Linked DNA regions of Drosophila melanogaster. The protein of the gene in region 1 purifies or fractionates together with the protein of each later gene. This does not show direct contact. Each region holds a gene or a part of one and is shown in the gene's direction. Other genes may lie near its edges.

Region 1 (4,977 bases):
TGGCTGCCAGTCGGCCGATTGGAGCGGAGTCCAACATTCAACAGGTTTCATTTTGCGCATTAACAAATAATTATGCTGGCAATTGCCAAATCACGGACTCAGCCTGGCTGATATATAATCTGATTTTGTGCAAATGCACAAGCATCTAATGCCGCTACTGCAACGGCGACCCATAAAGGCCTTTCACTTTTACGCCACAGTGCAGATCTCACGCATGGCACCCGATCCAGTCACTGTTCCAGTCACAGATCCATTTGCAATCCCCGTTGGTATTCCACTCCACAATCCCACACCCAGCGTTCCGATAATCGATTTCGAGTGCGAAACTTGAGATTCGCAGCCCACGGTTATGCACCGCATCTGTTGCATCACTTTTCACCACCCCCAATCGCAGATAGTATCTATTTTTTCCGCCCGGTGATCACTAAACCATTGTCAATGACATCAAAGATGCCGAGAAATTCCAGAGAGGCAGCTTCCGTTTTTACCTGGTTGTTGCAGGAAGTGCAAAATGGTAACCCGAGTACCCCAAAGGTGGCAAGAAAACCAGAAAGCCTAATTATGACAGCAATAGAAATTGAGACATCACACTCAAATTACTATCTTGCAACAATGTATACTGATATAAAGCAAGTAACTGGTTACAAGTACAGTGAACTTTGATAAATGTTGCTTACTACAATATCAATTACAAAATCAAAGTTTAATGTAATTAATTGCCATTTTTAAAAGATCTGAATCCGGTTAAAAATTAAATACTAAAATCCGGAAAACATTCGGTTCGCCAAATGCATACAAAATTATAAGAAACATTAATTAAGTTATAAATCAAGTTACCGTTAAATCAAGTTCTACGATATTAGATCTGCTAAGTGAATTTGAGATTTATTAAACTCAAATGAAAGAAATTGCTTTGTTACACTTTTGTTTATTGGGCCACAAAATGTTTCGAAATAAATTTTATATTGAAATTATACAAGATTAAAACCAGATTACCCCTTTGAACAATTCCAGATTTATAGACCCTTTGTTTAAAATGCGAGCCGAACGTATAAATATGATACTAATAAGCAAGTTTTTTTTTTTTTTTAATTAATGGAATCAAAACAAAATCTAGTTGAATTTCCATTAGGTAGACTCAGAATTATTGATATTAGGAATCAGGTTCGACCAAAACTGCTGACTTCTGAAACTTGACAAACAAAACATAACGACTTTGATAGACATATGACCTTTCGTTGAAATCTATATTTTTGGGAACAACTTGCTAAGAAGCCCGAAGACTTTTTATCCAAATAAAACAAAAAAAAAACAAGAAAGGATTGCTAGTACGTTCTGCGGGATTTTCCCAATATAAATTTCAATTCAAGATTTAGTTAATTTATTTTATTTGCTTTTTATGTTCCCAAATTGATTTGATCACATTTGCACCCATATTTTATAAGCCACTTTCAAGTTGGCGGCTAAAGTCACCAATACACACAGAGAAAAGCCGCAATTGCGTGAGTATTGGTGGCATGCCAGTGTATTGGTGAGCGCTTCCGCTTGCAACTTTCCGTGCCGCACTAATACACACAAATATAACCAATACAAGCGCAAACCAAGCCGAACTCAGAGCTTTGAAGAGAGCAATTAGGCTGGTTTGTGGTGGGAAAAGCTTTTGGAAACCGCTGAGCGACTTGGTTTGGCGGTGTTTTCAGTTTCGTTTTGACACAAAAACTCTTTGGGGGTATAAAAGCGCGCCACTGACCACAGACAGCATCCAGTCAAAGGTTTGGAATCGCTAGTGATTCTACAATCCTTCCACAGTCTATTTCGCTGTTACTGAGTTGCTTGTAAGTGAAGCCAAATGCCAAGTTAATTTTTGTTTGTTTCTAAAATGCGTGTAGTCTATGTGAAACGGAAATAAAGTTTAAGCTGTGATCTAAAAGTTATAAACTAATAACTGTGCGAGCCGTGTGCTCTAAATAACTTCAATTTTCCAAGGAACATTTTCCCAAAGAACAGATTGTTAATACCAATTAAAGTGCTGATCTTATAAAAAAAAAAATATCTATGCTGCATTTCGTATAAATAATCTTATTGTTTTCTTTGTTTACTTACAGCCTTGGCAAGTCCCATTAGACTCCACAATGAAAGTATTCGTAAGTACAACAGACATATAGTAATTAGACATATAGAATTTAGTTTGATATGTAAATGGGTACGAGTATGTGAACTATCGCTGTTGGTAGCATATTTTAGTGTGAGAAATCAAGTAATAATTCAAAGAATTGCATACAGAACAATGCTGACATGAACTAATTGGAACAATATAGCCTTTTGCATTGCAAATGCCTCACATTGTTTACCTGGCCATCTTCAACAACAAACAACTTCCTGAAACAATTCAATCCGATAAATTTCCTTAATCAAAGGTGAAATGCTCGCAAACGACCAAATTCAACTTGAACGACATGGCTAATAAGCGTTTATTAACTGAACGATCATAATTGGAGTGCCAGCCACGTTTATTACCAGGCCGTAATCAACTGGGTTCATGTGCTCAATTAAAGCCAGCTCCAAATGCATTCGCTGAGTTGCCCACTGCGTATGCGTAACGTGACGCCAGTCGGTTGAGGCGTATTGCGGAAACTGGGCGTGGCAGTGGGCGATGACTGCACTGCATCATTTATGCCAGGCACGCACAAATTTCACTTGACCATTTGAATCGCGAAAGAGGGCGATGAGACAACGGACGACACAATGCGAATCGGGCCACATATCGCCTATCGCCTTCGCTTTCTATTGCGATTAGGTAATCGATCAAACTAGGCAATGGGTGATAAAAGTCAACGTTTTCGTTAGGCAATTTATGTAGGTTGCATATCTTGAATTGTTTTATCATAGAGAAGCTTCAAATACTTAAAGAATAGACTATACGAATTTCATGATAGATGAGTTTGCACAGTTGAGAATTCGAAGATAGTATGACTAAATTTTATTTCATTTCATTTTGAAATAGATTTAAACTATATTTGCAAGGAATCAAGTTCTACTTACTAACTTAGTTATTGTGAAATAAACTATTAAGAAATCACAAATATCTAGAATTTTGCTAGAAAATTAATATATTATTATTATTTAAAAGTCTCTAAAATGCATAGTTTCATAACCAATCGCACCAACTCAATTCTTTGCAGATCTGCTTAGCCGCTCTGCTGGTGGCCTCCGCCTGCGCCAGCAAAACCGAGGGTGAGAAGGTGCCGCTGGAGAAGAAGCTGGACAAGCGCGGCCTGCTCGATCTGGGCTACGGCTACGGTCATGCTGGTCTGGACACCGGCTACCTGGGACATGGTTCCATCTCCGGCCACGGAAGCTACGGACATGGCTACGGACTGACCGGATACTCCGCACCCGCTGCCGTCGCCGTGGGCCACAGTGGTCCCGCGATCGCCGTTGGACACACTGCTCCCGCCGTCGCTGTCCACCACGCTCCCGCCCCCTATGTGATCAGCAAGCAGGCCGATGTGCACAAGACCATCACCATCACCAAGGGAATCCCAGTGCCCGTGCATGTGGACCGCCCCTATCCCGTCGTCCATGAGAAGCGCGTGCCCGTCGAAGTTAAGGTGCCCGTGCCCCAGCCCTACGAAGTCATCCGCAAGGTGCCCGTGACCGTTAAGGAGTACGTCAAGGTGCCCGTGCCAGTGCCCCAGCCCTACGAAGTGATCCGTCACGAGAAGGTGCCCGTCCATGTGCCCGTCGATCGCCCAGTGCCCGTTGAGGTGCCCAGGCCCTACCCCGTGCCAGTGGCCAAGCCCTACCCTGTCTACGTGGAGAAGGCCGTCAATGTCCAGGTGCCCGTGCATGTGGATCGTCCCTACCCCGTCTACGTGAAGGTGCCCGTGGTGTCCCACTCCGTGGTCAAGCACGCACCCACCGTTGCCGTCAGCAGCTACCCTGTTAGCGCCATTGGCCACGATGCCACCGTCTACTCCGACCACCATGGTTACCACAAGTAAGCGGACGGAATGGACCGGAAGCAGGCGAATCTATTGGAGCGAGCGGACTTAATGGAAATGAGCCGAAGGATATCTAGCAACATTTTCAATTATCTTCCCCACTCTCTCCACCTGTCGGCCTTCCTTTCCAAAACCGAGCGCAGAAGCAAACTCTTAAAATACCCCCTGGAAGTCAAACTTCCGCCCTGCCACACTCTCTGTAGCTGATAAGAACCCCCAAGATGAAACAAGCAATGCCTTTTGTAAATTATTTCCAATCCAGCCATCCAATGGAAGCCATTGTGCTGGGCCAAGAACTCCAGGTTTAGGATAAATACCAGCTAACTGTTTGTAAATTTCGCCATTTATGAACAGTTTAGCTGGCCAAGTTTATCAGTGAAAGGTTTCGGCGCACAATGAATTGAATGGATAATAAGAACAGAAATATCTATGTGAAAATCTATTAAGGACAAATAAAATAAAATGTATAAAATAAATTTCACTGTCTTTATCACTGGTTAGCTGCTGGAAATAGTTTGTCATAGGGTTCTTTGTAATTGTATATCTTGTAAATATATTTTGTAAATAAAGAGTATGTTGTTATTAAACAGCTGTCGTTTTTGATTTGGTGGCTACTCAACATAAATAATATTTAAAAAATGTATTTTTACTAGACTTTTTGAGGATCATTTTCTGGAATATTTACAGCTCTCTAATAATATTTATTAAATAGACGGAATGGTTCAAAAACTTTATGTTCCGATCACTTTAATAAAAAGTTATACGAAGACCCTTTAATCTTGCAAGGTAACAAGTAGGATACCAGTAATTATTTCAAGCCAAGAGATGCGAATTATGCATACCTGTAATTAAGTACAGCTTAAGTTGTAATAAATCAATAATACTCAGTCACAATAAAAACAGATGTCTTGACGCCTTCCTGATCCTTAAACCCGAAAATCCTCTCACCAGTCAGTCAGCTGAGATGACATGA
Region 2 (4,077 bases), on another chromosome or scaffold:
ATCATTATAAAACGAGTAATAGTCAGGCTTTGCTGTACACATTGTAATGTGCACGACATTGTGACAAAGGCTGGGGTAAGCACGGCCTTGACCGAGTGGCGTCCAACATGTGGTATACTTAATACTTAATTGGCCACACTCGAGTCACAGCCAGCGATCCGCAGATGGGAGGGAGTCAGCTATGCAAATTGGCCTCCACCCAACCGACAATTATGTTAAACTATAACAAAAAATATATAATAACTCATTGCGGTCACAAGCTGGTCTAATCAAATGCATGTAAGTCGAACTAGTCACCTCTGCTCCATTTGCGAACTCCAGACTTGCGACTTGGGAAATTTCCTTAACCAGAATGGGGCGGACAAATTTCAGGTCCGACTATTTCCCCAGAAAAATCGCATAAATCACGAAAGGAAAAAATATTGAGTTGAGCCACGAGTTGAGTTGGAAAATTGACGGCTTTTAATTTCGACTTTTGAATGATTTGTTGGCAATCAAAGTATTTTGGGCGTCGCTTGGGAAATGCGAATCTGAATCAAAATCGAATGTATGCATTGGATGGACGTTGCTCAATGGCTAGCAGACAAACAGAATGCAATTGGTAGGCCATTAAAATGCAATTACAGGCCACCAGAGTTTGGTGGTCAGCTGCAATCGGAACCAGCACGAATAAAACCAAAAATCCAAAACAACCGAGTGGGTGGCATATTTGGTTTTGTAGCTGCGGATCGATAGATAGCCACGCAATTTGGCATCCTGTTTGGTGTCAATCAAGCCGCCTTCGATTGAGATTTATGCGACAATTTGGTTAGCATTTGCATAACGCCACGGGTCGAAATCACGAGGTGTTGGCTTTGGTGAAGGGTTCGGCTTAGTTTTAGATTCGACTAGCACTAAGCCCCGTTGATATGCAGATTGTCCATTTGGGGTCCAATCAGCAACGATGGCCAGGGTCGCTGAGTCGAAAGAATTGTCGCCATCGTAATTGTTTATTAATTTATGACTCATAAACTTTAAGTCGGTCTTTGTTCGCCCTGAGAGAATTTCGATTTTTATACAACTCTTTGATTCAATACACCGATATTCAAGGCTCAAAACAAGCATTTTGCAATTCTTTTCGAGCCTCGTGTTCTGACTGATCCCGTGATATGATTTCAAAGCTGTTTCAGAATTAAGCATGGCTATTAGGAAATCTGGCAGGCCATTCGAAATGCGGCAAATATGATTTACCTATGTTTCCAATTGACTACGCTCCTTCCACCCAAGTTACGCATACGCCATGTGCGCGATAACAAATCAGTTAAATATTAATGCATGCAAAATATAGGCAAACCAGCTGCCGTCCAGCAGCCACCAAAATGACCAACTGCACCAATCTCCACTCTGTGTTTGTCAGTTATTAAAGTGAGTAATTTTTCATGGACCACTTGAGTTTATTTGCTGCGTGGAGAGGCAGCTCCGATTGATCATTTGCATCTGGACAACAACATTTTCCACACCTACGGATCTCTATATCTCTAATGAGCTGTCAGTCAGTCAGTCAGCTGATTGATAATAAAGTGCGTGTTTTCGGTTTTAGAAAGGATTTAGGCAGATATGCTTAATAGGCTTGCAGGCTTATATTTAAATAATTTGAACACGTGAATTCAACGGTTTTGAATAAAACACAATATTCATAGATAAATTTAAGTGCTCTTTCAAAGGAAATGTTACTTAATGGCCAATTTAGATCACTGGAATAATTGCAAAATTACTAATAGGCAAAACCAGATTTAGCCGTAGAATTTTCTCAGCTGGAAACCCCCAGAAGACAATTGTTCATTTCCACGACGAAATGAATGGAAATATAAAAGTTTCCGTTAGAGCAAAAGTCGCCGACAATAGCTGACGAAAAAAATACAAATTGAATTAAGTGCTCGTGGTGGTTCTCCATGAAAATCTTGGGGATTCGGTGGCTAAAATTGGCGGTGGCTCAGTGGCTCAAGCCAAAGCCGCCGCGTGACTGATCTCTTTCGCGATCTGCTGGTCGGCAAATGCACAAAGCTTCGGCTCTCGGCCGTCGAAAGGGGCGTGTTGGCTCTCCCTCTCCGCCGCTCTTTGGGCCAAGATTTGTCAGAATATTTCTCATGTTGCGGGTATAAATAACAGGGCTACTTGAGACGTCTAAGCATAACACATTCAGCTCTTCGGTCAAGAAGTCCAAACAACACAAAACCAGCAAAATGTTCAAACTGGTAAGATCAGGATTAAAGGATTACCGCTCGTATGAAGTTAACATAGAAGTTTCTTTTCCGCAGATTGCCCTCATCTCTGCCCTGTGCGCCGTGGCCAATGCCGGAGTAATCTCGCCCTACAGCCATGGATATGGACTGGGATACGGCGCCGCCTTGGCTCCGGCTTATGCCGCTCCGGCTGTGATCTCGCACGCCCCGATCATCAAGAGCTACGCCGCTCCCATTGTCGCCCACCCGGTGGCCACCTCCTATGCCAACACCTACAAGGTGGCCACCAAGGCCATTCCAGTGGTCCATGCCGCTCCTCTGGTCCATGCCGTGCCTGCTCTGCACTCCACCTCCACCTACCATGGATCCTATGGCGGCTACGGTAGCTACGGTCTGGGATACGCCGGCTACGGACACGGAGCCTACCTGCACTAAGGATCTGGATGTCGGAAAGGATACCAGCCCCCCGTTGACGACCCCGATTGAAGTGAGAACATTAAGCGGATAATTCGCATTTTGCTGCCGTCAAAGTGTTGAATTTGCATTTCGTAGTCAGAAGCGGAAATACAAATTGTGTACAAAATCCCTCAAAAACCCAGACACCCACTTGGAGACAGAGACAACTAGAGAACTAAGGACAACTAACGGGAGGCGGCGAGAGCGAGAGAGATTGATGAAGGATCAAGTTTCGTTGATTTTGTTATTATGGTGCAACTCCATGCATTGTGGCTTCATAACATTTTGTAAATAAACGATAAATGACTCTTTAAACGAATATGATGGCTTATTTCATTTACTGGTTGCTTATATATGTTAGTTTAAAAATATTCACTTGAAATTATGACGGATGGATATTTAAGATCCATATCCAAATATGCCTTACTACACACAATTCAATGAAATCTTTACGATACCTAACGTTTTGGAAGCAATATGAATTTTCAGAGTAATGTGGAAATATTTTAATTTGCCGTTTTAACACACACACATTTCGCAATGTAAGCCACTTAACTCAAAACTAATTGTTAAGGGGACAAATGTCTATTTATGAAGTGTGGAATTATTTTCAATTTAGTTTAGTTGAGCGTGAAGTGATCAGTTTTATTCGCATTTATAAGGATTCCAGATAGTATTGCTAGTTCGTAGATGCGAGCATTTCACAAAAAACTGCTTGTTCAATGATTTTCAACTGCGAACTTACCCCAACCATCCGATCGCCATTCAGCATTCAATTGCACTTCAAATTAATTTTACTTGAGCAACTTGCTCGATTCATATCGACTCCCGTCGGGTGTTTTGAAACTTGCAAGGAAAAAACCAAATACCAAAAAAAATTGTTTTATTGCAACGCCTTGCCCGGCCCACCTGCTCACTATACCCCCCCCCCCTCCTCTAACAATTATCATTGCGGGGAAACGAAAGACTCAAGCGACAAACGCGTGCGCCTGTCAACAGGTTGACCAGTGAAAAGTGCGTTGAAATATCTTTTTATTAATGGCCGGCCAACTGTCGCAGCTAAATGCTTTTCGCCCAGTTTCGCAAATGAAAAATGGGAGCACATCAACAGCTGCTGAAAAGTGAATTGAGTCACTTAATTACCTTTTTAACGCCGGCCAGCTGATCCTGGACCGAAAATACCAACTATAATTCATGCGAAAATTGAAAAGTCGTGTATTGCGCTTTGCCGGCGGCGTAATGGAAATCAATTTACGATTTTACTTAATAAATGTTATCTCGCCGAGTGAAAATCATAAGATGATGGGTGGGGTTGCTAAATATAATTCATATCGCCCATAACAATAGGCCATTGTTGGCAGCTCTTCGACCTTGACAGCCATACAACTCAATTGTGCCC
Region 3 (5,789 bases), on another chromosome or scaffold:
TCCTTCGTTCAGCAAAGGATATTAATAAAATGAGGGGCTTTAATTGTTTAAAGCTTTAATTGTAAACAATTATTAGAATTATATAGAAACAAGCTTAAGAATCCATCATTAGAGTCCATGTGCTGCGCTTCAGGACGAGCAGAACGAACAAAACAATTCCAAACGCGCTGTGAAAATACTCGGATATTATCCCGACCCATTCCCAGAAAATGTGGAGCCGTGCAGAATACGGAATGACATTGAATATCCAAGTAAGGCCCATCACGATGGAGAGCCGCAGGAACTGTAGGTAACTATGTGGATAATACGGCAAGGATAACTAGTTTACCAAGGTCCAAGGTTTTATCATATCTTACGTCTGGCTGTCAAAGTTTATGCAGTTAATCCTTCCCTCCTCCTCATTTGTGAACTTATTTATACCCCCCTTCACTTTCCTAATGTAAATGGCTGTCAGGGCGAACATGGCGACATTGAAAGTGCTCAGGGCCAGCGACGGTCCACTTATATAGATCCAGACGGATGGGTGCCAATCTGATATGGAAAAGCAATACGTAACCATGGTAACGATTTAAAAGCAATCGCATTGAAAGTTTACCTTTGACCGAGCACCGAATAAAACCGACCAGAGGCAACCAGTTCCATTTACTGGGATCGTTTTCCCAAATCTGATTAACTATATAAATACTTCCCGTCATGATTGCGGCTGTGCTCCAGACGAAGGCGTTGTACCGCAGGAACCGATAGTTAGGGTCGACTCGATTGAGCGACGTCAAGACTTTCCACGTATGGTAGCTGATGACGGAGAGCCAGAGGTTGGAAGCCATCCGGAAAAAGTGCGAGCTGTAACCTGCAAGAAGTCAACGATATAACATTTAAAGCTTCCAGAGATATCTCCAATTCGAACTAACCAGCTGGAGAGCAAATGCCATTCAATAGATTTAAATGATCTAGTATCATGATCAAGCACTGGATAAACCTCGAAACTATACAGCATACAATGCACTTGCCAGTAACATTTCGCAGCTTCTTAATGTATAGATATACTGCGATTGTTAGGACAAAGCATATCATTGTTATAATTAGAACTGAAAAAGAAAATATAAGAAATAAAAAACCAGCTTATTGTAATTAAAAAACTTGCAAAGGGCACACAGAATGCAGTCAGCAGTTTGCACACCAATAAGGAGTTATTTTCGTTTCTTTCTATATAGCTATGAAAACGATATTGATGACTTTTGTTATAAATAATAATTGAATTACTCTCTAAGGATCCAGGAGATATGTGGCTTGTGCAGCGGTGTCGTATTATCCACATGGACTTTGGAAAATCCGAATCAAAGTTGTGCCGGTACAAGCAGTAGTCCTGTTTTTCCATGAAGAGGTCAACGGTAACCCAAAATTTTCCATCCTGGAACCAAACTATAAGTCCACATTTATTGAAGATTTGAATGCTAACCTCTTCTAAGAAATAGTTAAAGTCGCTGATGTAAATCATTTCATCACAATCAAAGAACTCATCTCTGATAATAGCCATATCGGTGAGTGGTACTCGTGCCTGTAGGTCCATGTATGTGAAGTATATATAGGGTTTGAACCGGGCGAGCTCCTCTTTGAGACCATCATCGCATTTTCCGTTGGCCAAAAAGTTCTTGGCTGGGCAGCAGATTCGAATACAGGGCCGCACGCTGCAAACACAGGCCCTTAAATGCTTTTCAATCGGCGTAATCGAACCGTCCCCAAACTGCCTGAACTCGTAGTATCCAGTTAAGCTAGCAGGAATTTCGATGTCATCATATAAATACGAATCGTTTTGCCTTTCAATGTATGAGATATCAACCGTGTCGTAGTAGTTGCACCCGGGAATATCTGCATTTGAGTTGTTCGTAAAAATTAAAAGCAGAACTGTACAGAAAATCACCCAAGGAAGCCTCATGCTGAGCACTACAACACTTGGCACTAAGAACTTTGCCCGACTGGCGATCGATGCTCATCGTTGGCAGTTTAAATAGCCTTCAATAGCCGTTTGGGCAAACACTTTATTCGGAAAGTAGTCCCTGCTGACCAGCCTAAGAAAGCCCTCAAACAAATTTAGTTTTCAAACTCATTTTTTGGCAATTTCCGACCTTTTATCGTTAAAACGAAAAATATTCGTCCCTGGGGAAGATCACCAACAAAAATGTCTAATTCATTATCAATTCATTATAATTTATAATCCAAAATCAAAATGTTCGCCTGTCGATACTTTTGATGTAAATTTTAAAATTAGGCGGGAGCTTTTCCCTGGCGTTAGATTATTAATCCATTTAGAAATTCCGTTTGAGCCATCTGGCCACTCTGGCACCTCCTGATAACGCAATTGTATTGTTTATATAGTTTCTAAAGCCGAACGAGAATGCAATGTGGCGATATCAGTTGCTGATAAGCACTGGAACCCTGCAGTACACAACCCATAACCGACGATGACTGCCACCAAAAAGCGTCTGAAGATCGTTGCAGCCATCTCGCTGCTCCTCCTGCTCCTGGTCTACCTTTACCGAATGGCCAGCTTCTGCCCAAGCGGAAAGGTCGCCGTTTCCGTTCCCGGCGTCGAGGAGGTTCAGGCCAAATGGCCGCCCACGGAAAGTCCGCTACAAAGGAGCCTTCAGATGGCGTACGAGGAGCAGAGCTCTCTTATTCGAGAACAAAAGGCCGAACTCCAGCGCACAAGGGAGAATTTGGCCAGATTGGAGGAACAAGTTCGTAGCCTCCAGACCAGCACACCGCGCAAGTATCCGAAGGTTAAATACCTGAACTATAAGAATCGCAAACGCATACTAATTACCGGAGGAGCTGGCTTCGTGGGCTCCCACTTGGTCGACGATCTGATGGTCCAGGGGCACGAGGTCATCGTGGTGGACAATTTCTTTACGGGACGCAAGCGAAATGTCGAGCACTGGCTGGGGCACGAGAACTTCGAGCTCATCCACCACGACATAGTGAATCCGCTTTTCATCGAGATCGATGAGATCTACCACTTGGCATCGCCAGCCTCGCCACCGCATTACATGTACAATCCGGTGAAGACCATCAAGACCAACACCATGGGCACGATCAATGTACTGGGTAAATATTTATAATATCAATCAAAGAAAATAAGGATTACACCTAACGAGTATATCTTTTTTGAAAGGTCTGGCCAAGCGCGTGATGGCCAAGGTTTTGATAGCTAGCACTTCGGAAGTGTACGGCGATCCCACAGTGCATCCGCAGCCAGAAACATACTGGGGACATGTAAACCCTATTGGACCGAGAGCCTGTTATGACGAGGGAAAGCGTGTCTCCGAGACGCTGAGCTATGCGTATGCCAAACAGGTAATACCTTTAGCAATATATATACTTTTTTGGATAACCACATTCCTAAGCCAGATCGAAAAAAAAACATTAAACTAGCTGAGATCCAGAAATGTGGCAGATTTTTCCTGTTTCGATCGCTAGTTGAGCATTAAATGATCTCAATTGGAATGCTATTAATTGATGTTCCGCTCGGTTGGCTGACGCGAGATAAGATTTCCAAGCGCGAGCACTGACCACATTTTTTGATCTTGGCCAGCAATCTGGGAGTCAAATTAATTGCTCTTTAAATGTATCTGTATCGACAGGAGAAAGTGCAAGTCCGAGTGGCGCGCATCTTTAACACTTATGGACCGAGAATGCATATGAACGATGGACGAGTGGTGTCAAACTTTATACTTCAGGCGCTGAGGAATGAAACCATTACGGTGTATGGAAATGGCAAACAAACGCGCTCCTTTCAGTATGTTTCGGATCTGGTGGACGGAATGATAGCCCTAATGGCATCCAACTACACACAGCCGGTGAATTTAGGCAATCCTGTGGAGCAGACAATCGGCGAATTTGCCGAGATCATCAAGAAACTGGTCGGCGGGCCCAGTGTGATAAAGCAATCGAAGGCCATGGAAGATGATCCGCAGCGCAGAAAACCGGACATAACTCGAGCCCGCCAGTTGCTCCATTGGGAGCCAAAGGTTCCCCTAGAGACTGGACTTCAGCGGACCATCTCCTACTTCCGCAACGAATTGGCGCGTAGCGATCGCTTTCAGGAAAGCTCCAACAAGTACTTTGATACACATACACCGTAGAATTAATTGGGCTTAGCTCTAATTGGTGATGATGGAACGTCTCTAGTCTGCAAATGTAAATATGACCATCGTTAGCACTAATTGTAAGCCCTCAAGGACCACAGAATACCTTTGTCATGGTTAATTTTTTGAAGTTTTGCGATATATCAGCCTATGTATGGATTAGGAAATAGTGATGTATAAATGCGATCAAATGCACTGAATTCTAGAAAACTAATTTGAATTTGTTTAGGAAAAGAAAATCCCCAAAGAATACAGAACTTAGGGAGTATGGAAACAACAGTTACAAACGGTTTATTATTCACGGACGACATTGCTATTCTTTTGACCGCATGTGTACCACATAGACACAGAATCACTGGGTTACATGACACTTAGAAACAGTATAATCCATTGTATTGTAGAACCACTATCGTATTTTAAAAGTGCCCACAAATTCATACGTTACATCAGAAGGTTGCGGCATATACATATATCAGAACCAGTGAGAATTGAACAAATTATTGAAGATCTGTGACTCACAACTTTAGACACATAACACCTATATGCGCCTTTAACCAGTGTAAGCACACCCCGATTCTAGAAGATAAGTAGGGTTTTCCAGTTGCTGTAGTTGGTAGTCCATTAAAAGAGATTTTTTCTGCGAACTAATCTTACCCGACAAGTATTTTACTATTTATATACATGGCTTATCCTACGCTTAATCTACTCTAGTATACATCCATATATACCTAAGACTATATTTGCACCTTTGCTTATCAGCTAGATCAACTAGTTTGGGCGCCCGCATAATCCTTTTCACCTGGCCAGCGGCTCGAGCATCTCGAGGAACAGTTTCTTCATGGTAATGACTTCATCGCGTGCAATTCCACGCCAAAATCTTCGCAGGATATCATCCGCCTGCCGCAGCGAAGGCAGCAAAAGCAGCAATTGTTGCTGATGCGACACGGCCGACGAATGACGCAGCAAGTAGACCACATCGTTTAGAGAATTAAGAATCGTATCACGAAATGCGCGCAGGGAACTCTGATCATCCAGCAGAATGTCGCAGTTGGCCAGCAGGAGCGCCTTTAGCAAGTAGTACTCCTCCCTTCGTGGCGATATTCTTTCCATGCGCTGTGCGATCTGGACGCAGTGGTAGTAGAACTCCGTGTAACCGCACTCCTTGGCCAAATGTTCATCCATCCAGACATCCGTGGCGAAGCATAACTTGCCATTGAACGGTAGGGACCGGAAGGTCAGCTGGAGCGTCAGGATCTCTGCCCACGACACCTGGAGAAGCTTCATCTGGTCGTTAAGTGGCAGATCTATAAAGCCAGGTATCTGCTTGGCCCAGCCAATGACGCTGACCAATTCCTTGTCGTAAATATCACTAAGGACGCTTAGTATCTCATTGGGATCATTGTTGTTGTTGTTTTGGAAAATGCAAGTCCCATTGGGCGTAACAACGCTGGACTCCAGTTTTATGCTGCCCGAGGAGGATGAGGCCTCATCATTAGTTATGCTAGTCGTGTGGACTTGCGGCGGCGGCGTTTGGACGCTCAAGGCATCCGGCTCATATGAATTGAGCACCTCCAGTATCTTGACATCGCACAGCGAGGTGGTGTTGGATTGGTATAGCAGCTGCATAGTCTGGTAAGAGTTTGATAC
Region 4 (5,104 bases), on another chromosome or scaffold:
AGGAATTTCCACACATTTAACTAACGGGTTGGTGAATACCTAGGAAACGAAACCGCGTATCAAGGAAGTTGGTGGAACTGGTTTTGCATTGCATTGTTATATTAGAAGTTGTAATAAAATTTTGAGTGGCTTGAAACGATTGTTTATCAGGGATATTCTATCGACACAATGCGAACCACTGATCAGCCCTACCTCTTCCCAAATATGGCTCAATCTTCCATCAAAAGGCAATCAATTACAGCATTTTTGCTCGAACCCAATCGAAACCTAGTTTTTCAAAGTCTCGACTGCAAAAATTCAATTAATTGGCCACGACGGTGCGTCATTTTCCGCAAACAAAGGACGCAATCAGATCGTGCTCTAATTCAGGCAAACTCAAAGATGCAGTTTGAATATTTAGAGGGGTATATCATAAAGGGGGGATGGGAAACTTTAAAGAAATATAATTAAATTCTAAGGAAGCTCATTGTCTACTTACTTACCAACTAACCATTCCCAACTGCCCATTCTACGAAAATCAACATGTGTAAAGTAATCTGGACTAACTTTCGGATAAGTAAACCCTCTTTTTTAACTACGCCCCTGCTGAGATTAAAACTGTTAGTGATCCGTTACACGTCGTTTGCTGCTGTGTCGTGCTAACCTTGAGATGATTACTTCAATTTGTAGTACGCGATGGCCAGCCTGGCATAAATGGTGGCTCAGAGGGGGGGGGGGGGGGGGGGGCACCAAAGGGGGAATGTCAGAGCCGAGCTACTAATTCGAGACAATTTATTAAATGAGTCGAAGCAGGGCAAGTACGTAGCATAAGCCTGGCGCAAATATGCCGTAAAACAAAGCAAGGCAGCCCTCAAAAATATGACAAAACCAAACGCTTTTGCTTTTTTACTGTTCGTAGTTTTGGCCTGGTAATGAGTTGGGGCTGAACTGGCGTCTATTTTGGCCATAATGATGTGGCGCCACGCTGCGCCCCACTTCAAAGGCGTTTCTACAGCGTCTTCGGGTGGTGGCCTCCCCATAGCACACCCCTCTTGTCTTTCCCAGATGGGTTTAATAAGCAAAACGGCCTACATGGCAATTAAAAAAGTGTCAGTAGGAACAACAGTCAGTGCACTGGAAAACAATTGAAGAACAAAGCCACTTGCTGACTTTAGTTAAAAGTATTGCAAAAATATCTCAAGATTTATGGGATTTCATGAGTCAGTAGCTCGTTTTAGTGGAATGATACCACTGATGTTTTACTAAGACTTCGAAATTAATCTACAATACCTCAAACCATTTTTGGCAGTGTACTATCACATTAACCAAAAGATTTGACAGACGACGCCCGCTGCAAGCAAAATAAGGCACAGAAAACGTAGAACATAGAAAACTTCGACTTGAAGCCCACGAAACAGACGAGCGAACAAATTGCAACATGCAACAGAAAAAAACCATGGGGATTTTCAGGAGGGGGCTGCAACACCGCCGCCCACCGAAATGCAATTTTAACTTATTTCAGCCATTGTCTTTTTATTTCATAAATATTTGTGTTTACGGCTAATTTTATTCGTGCGCGAAGATTGTTTTTGCTAGGTAGTTTAGAGCTTGCAAAGGCCATTTCAATTAAATCGTGATGGGAGATGGTAATATATAGATAGCCAACTTTTTTCCGATCATGATTTCATAATTAATACGCCTTAATAATGGCCAATTTGATATGTTAATACGAGTATTGATTTCAGCAGATAGAACTCGCATTAAGTGAGGTTTTCCCTTCCATTTCACAATTATTTCGACTTCGATTTGCATACATCGCCGGTTATCTCAGAAATCAGACAATTTCCAAAGACAAACCACAGCCAGCCAACAGTCGCTCCACATCTGAACTGAACTTCACTCTCGTTTTTTTTCGCTGAAAAGCATTAAATAATTGTGAATTGTTGGTGGGGAAGGGGGGGCGTTGCAGGGGCGTTGTGGGGGCCTCAACTTCTTGGGCTTCGCTCCGCAAAGCTCGGCTTTGGCTGGTATTTCATTGTAGTTTTGTTTTTGCCCCTGCTGACCGACTGGCATTCGGCTTTTTGTGACTCGGCTCGGTTTGGGCCGCTCGGGCGTTGTCTTGTATATAAAAGCGGCTTCCTTCTTGGTTCTAGTTATCAGTTGAATCCAGCTCAACGTACAGCACACACTCGCGTCTGCAAGAAACAAAATCCCAAAAATCCAAACAATGGCATTCTTCAAAGTGAGTGAACAGGACAGCCCTGTGACAGCCAAAAGTGCCCTGTGATCCAATCGAAATAGCAAACTAATAAAACAAACCCCTATCCCCTGTGATCTAGTCCCTCATCTGCCTGGCCGTCCTGAGCGCCGCCTCCGCCGGAGTCCTCCACGGACATGGTGCTGGTCTCTACGCCGCCGCCCCGGCCATCTATGCCGGCCATGGTCACCACGACGAGGGAATCGATTACCATGTAAGTGGGCAAGATAACCCAAAAAGGATTAACTTTCAAAGTAGCGCATATGAGGATTACTAACTCTTAAAGAAAATCAATGTCCTACTATTGGAATCCATTTGACTTGTTTAAAACATACATTTTGAAAAGCTTCCTCTTAATTGAAAATGTGCATCATGAGTTTATTGCTCTTTTAAAATCAAACGACTACAATACCATCCAGAGCTAAGAAATGCATGCATCTTGACTCATAAAAATTACTTATACGACACGTAATCCCTCCCGCAAACATTACTCATACGACCTGTAAGCCCGAAAAAGTTATACAGCCTACCGGCTGTTCATGCAATCATAAAATTATACTTAATATGCCCTAAAACTGACACCATCAGTCCGCACAACCTCTCACCCACTCCTCTGTGGATGCTGGTGGCCCAGGGTCACTGTGGCATTTGCCATTTAGCCATTTTCCCACGCTAGCTTCATTAGCATGGCCAGCTGCTTCGAGTGGCGTGTGGCATGCACATAAAATTAGCACCCAATCCTAGCAGGCCCGTACTCTTCTCATGGAATCTTTACGCCAATCCGCAGGCCTACCCCAAGTACCACTACAACTACGGAGTGGCTGACTCTCACACCGGAGACGTGAAGTCGCAGCACGAAGTGCGTGATGGTGATGTCGTCAAGGGATCCTACTCTCTGGTGGAGCCCGATGGTTCGGTGCGCACCGTGGAGTACACCGCCGATGACCACAATGGCTTCAACGCCGTCGTCCACAAGACCGGCCCCACTGTGCACCACGCCGCTCCCGCTGTGGTTGCCCACGCCGCTCCCGCCGTGGTCCATGCCGCTCCGGCCTATGCCCCAGCCATTGCCCACCATGTGGCCGCCGCTCCCGCCGTGCCCTACGCCGGATCCCTGGCGCATCAGGTGCCCGCCTACGGATACGCCACCCACAACGCTCACGCGCATGTGGCCCACTACTAAGGAAGTGGAGCAGTCCGCTGGATGCACCACCTGAAGCACCACCTGCACCGCTAACACCACTCTTCTGTAATTTATTAAGCACGTTGACGACCTCACAAAACGGCTGATCGATCCACTGACGAAGCCTGCTAAAATACTCAGTACCACAGTCATGTCCATCATGTCCTGCCGTGGATTCCCCGGACTTTCCCGGCAGCCTCTGTCTCCCTCACACACACACACACACATTGCCGTCTCTGTCTCAGCTTTCGCGCAATTCTCTCTTTTGTTTGTTAATCAACCTTCTCTTTAATTGTAAATAATGAAAACATCGAGTGAGGAACAAACGCCCATCCTGCCACACGCCCACGAAGAAGAACCAACCTGAAAAGATGAAGAAAAACGAACAAAATGTAAAAAAAAATAATAAAAAAAAACACATGTATTATAATAATTTTGTGTATACTATAAGTTTGAAGCTGAAACGGCTGACAATGCTATAAATACAAAATGTAGAGAATTATAAAAATTCAAATATTTCGTTTTTTTACTGCACAGAAAGGAACTGAAAACATAGATTGATCTTTAATTTGATTATTCTGTTTTATCTTACAATTAATTAGTTGATTGGCATTTCTGATCAGAACACATTCACTTTCAAATTGATTCCAAGTATGGGTAATTATGGTTTCCATTAGTTATGAATGTTATGGAAATTGATGGGTAGAGAGCACTTCGTCGAGATCACGCCACTTGATTGACAATAATCGATCTGGCTAATTTGTGGGCGTGGAGTGAAAAAGGTGAAGGTAATCATCGGCGGTTGATTATCATTTGATCCGCCAATAACCAGTTGGTGTTTATTAACTGATTATTTATCTGCAGAAGAACTATGCCATCTGTACTCTGGCAAGACGTGCGCTTTCATAATAAGATTCGCATCAGCATTCATATGAAACTTGAAGCTTAAATATAAAACTATATATAGCCTTATGTATCTGGAATTTGCATTCATAGAGTTTTCTTAATTTCCGATTTAAGGATATTTCACCAGATGCACTACTCGAACTCATTAAATGGGCTTTCTTTAATATTATTTTGTAGAAAACTTTTGGGCATTGATTTCTTAAACAACTTTAAACTACGATTTCAAATTGATTTTTGAAGGCTTAGAAAAAAATAGATAGATGATGTGTGCTTTTTGGCTGCTATAAACAAGACTTACAGTCATAGACTACTTTCAAGCTTAATAAAAACAATATGAATGCTACAAGCAACTATGCCACTGTATTTTTTATTGAAAAGCCATTTTAAACATTTATTAAACTTTATTATTACTATTATTTTACTACTTATATTATTAGTTATTAAATTAATTATTTAGTTAGTACCTTATAGATATGTAGAATTTTTTAATAAGGGTTTCATACTAAGCATACCTTTTTATTGGCTTACAAATATACAACAATTTCCCTAGAAATGTATCCTTTCCAATAGACACTTTTTTAATAACACATAACAAGGTCGATTGATGCCACCGCATTTTGCCTATCCACTTACGCACTTTTACTTTTGTGGCCGTTGGAAGCCACCGCAGAAGGGTGCCCACGGTGGAGTTGCCCCCCAGTGCGGTCACAAGTTCGGGGGCATCTCTCCAGCGAAGACAATAAACAAATAAAGCATAACTTAAAACATTTAAGTCACAA

Evidence for each region.
Region 2: the proteins of Vajk3 (region 1) and CG4962 purify together in Drosophila melanogaster (affinity purification with mass spectrometry, with the first as the bait; one large-scale study listed by BioGRID). This does not show direct contact.
Region 3: the proteins of Vajk3 (region 1) and Uxs purify together in Drosophila melanogaster (affinity purification with mass spectrometry, with the first as the bait; one large-scale study listed by BioGRID). This does not show direct contact.
Region 4: the proteins of Vajk3 (region 1) and Cpr62Bc purify together in Drosophila melanogaster (affinity purification with mass spectrometry, with the first as the bait; one large-scale study listed by BioGRID). This does not show direct contact.

Annotation. Positions count from the first base shown.
Region 1 is NT_033779.5:13,944,256-13,949,232, reverse strand, and holds Vajk3 (Vajk3), read left to right. Parts: upstream 1-1,756; 5' UTR 1,757-1,835; intron 1,836-2,105; 5' UTR 2,106-2,132; coding exon 2,133-2,144; intron 2,145-3,182; coding exon 3,183-4,004; 3' UTR 4,005-4,477; downstream 4,478-4,977.
Region 2 is NT_037436.4:16,293,629-16,297,705, reverse strand, and holds CG4962 (uncharacterized protein), read left to right. Parts: upstream 1-2,158; 5' UTR 2,159-2,222; coding exon 2,223-2,234; intron 2,235-2,297; coding exon 2,298-2,657; 3' UTR 2,658-2,995; downstream 2,996-4,077.
Region 3 is NT_037436.4:8,178,582-8,184,370, forward strand, and holds Uxs (UDP-xylose synthase), read left to right. Parts: upstream 1-2,341; 5' UTR 2,342-2,459; coding exon 2,460-3,102; intron 3,103-3,169; coding exon 3,170-3,351; intron 3,352-3,638; coding exon 3,639-4,139; 3' UTR 4,140-4,788; downstream 4,789-5,789. Other genes in the region: mthl7 (methuselah-like 7), read right to left, coding at 95-293, 357-531, 596-847, 909-1,085, 1,261-1,933; ERR (estrogen-related receptor), read right to left, coding at 4,938-5,789.
Region 4 is NT_037436.4:1,839,107-1,844,210, reverse strand, and holds Cpr62Bc (cuticular protein 62Bc), read left to right. Parts: upstream 1-2,126; 5' UTR 2,127-2,206; coding exon 2,207-2,221; intron 2,222-2,318; coding exon 2,319-2,450; intron 2,451-3,023; coding exon 3,024-3,419; 3' UTR 3,420-3,930; downstream 3,931-5,104.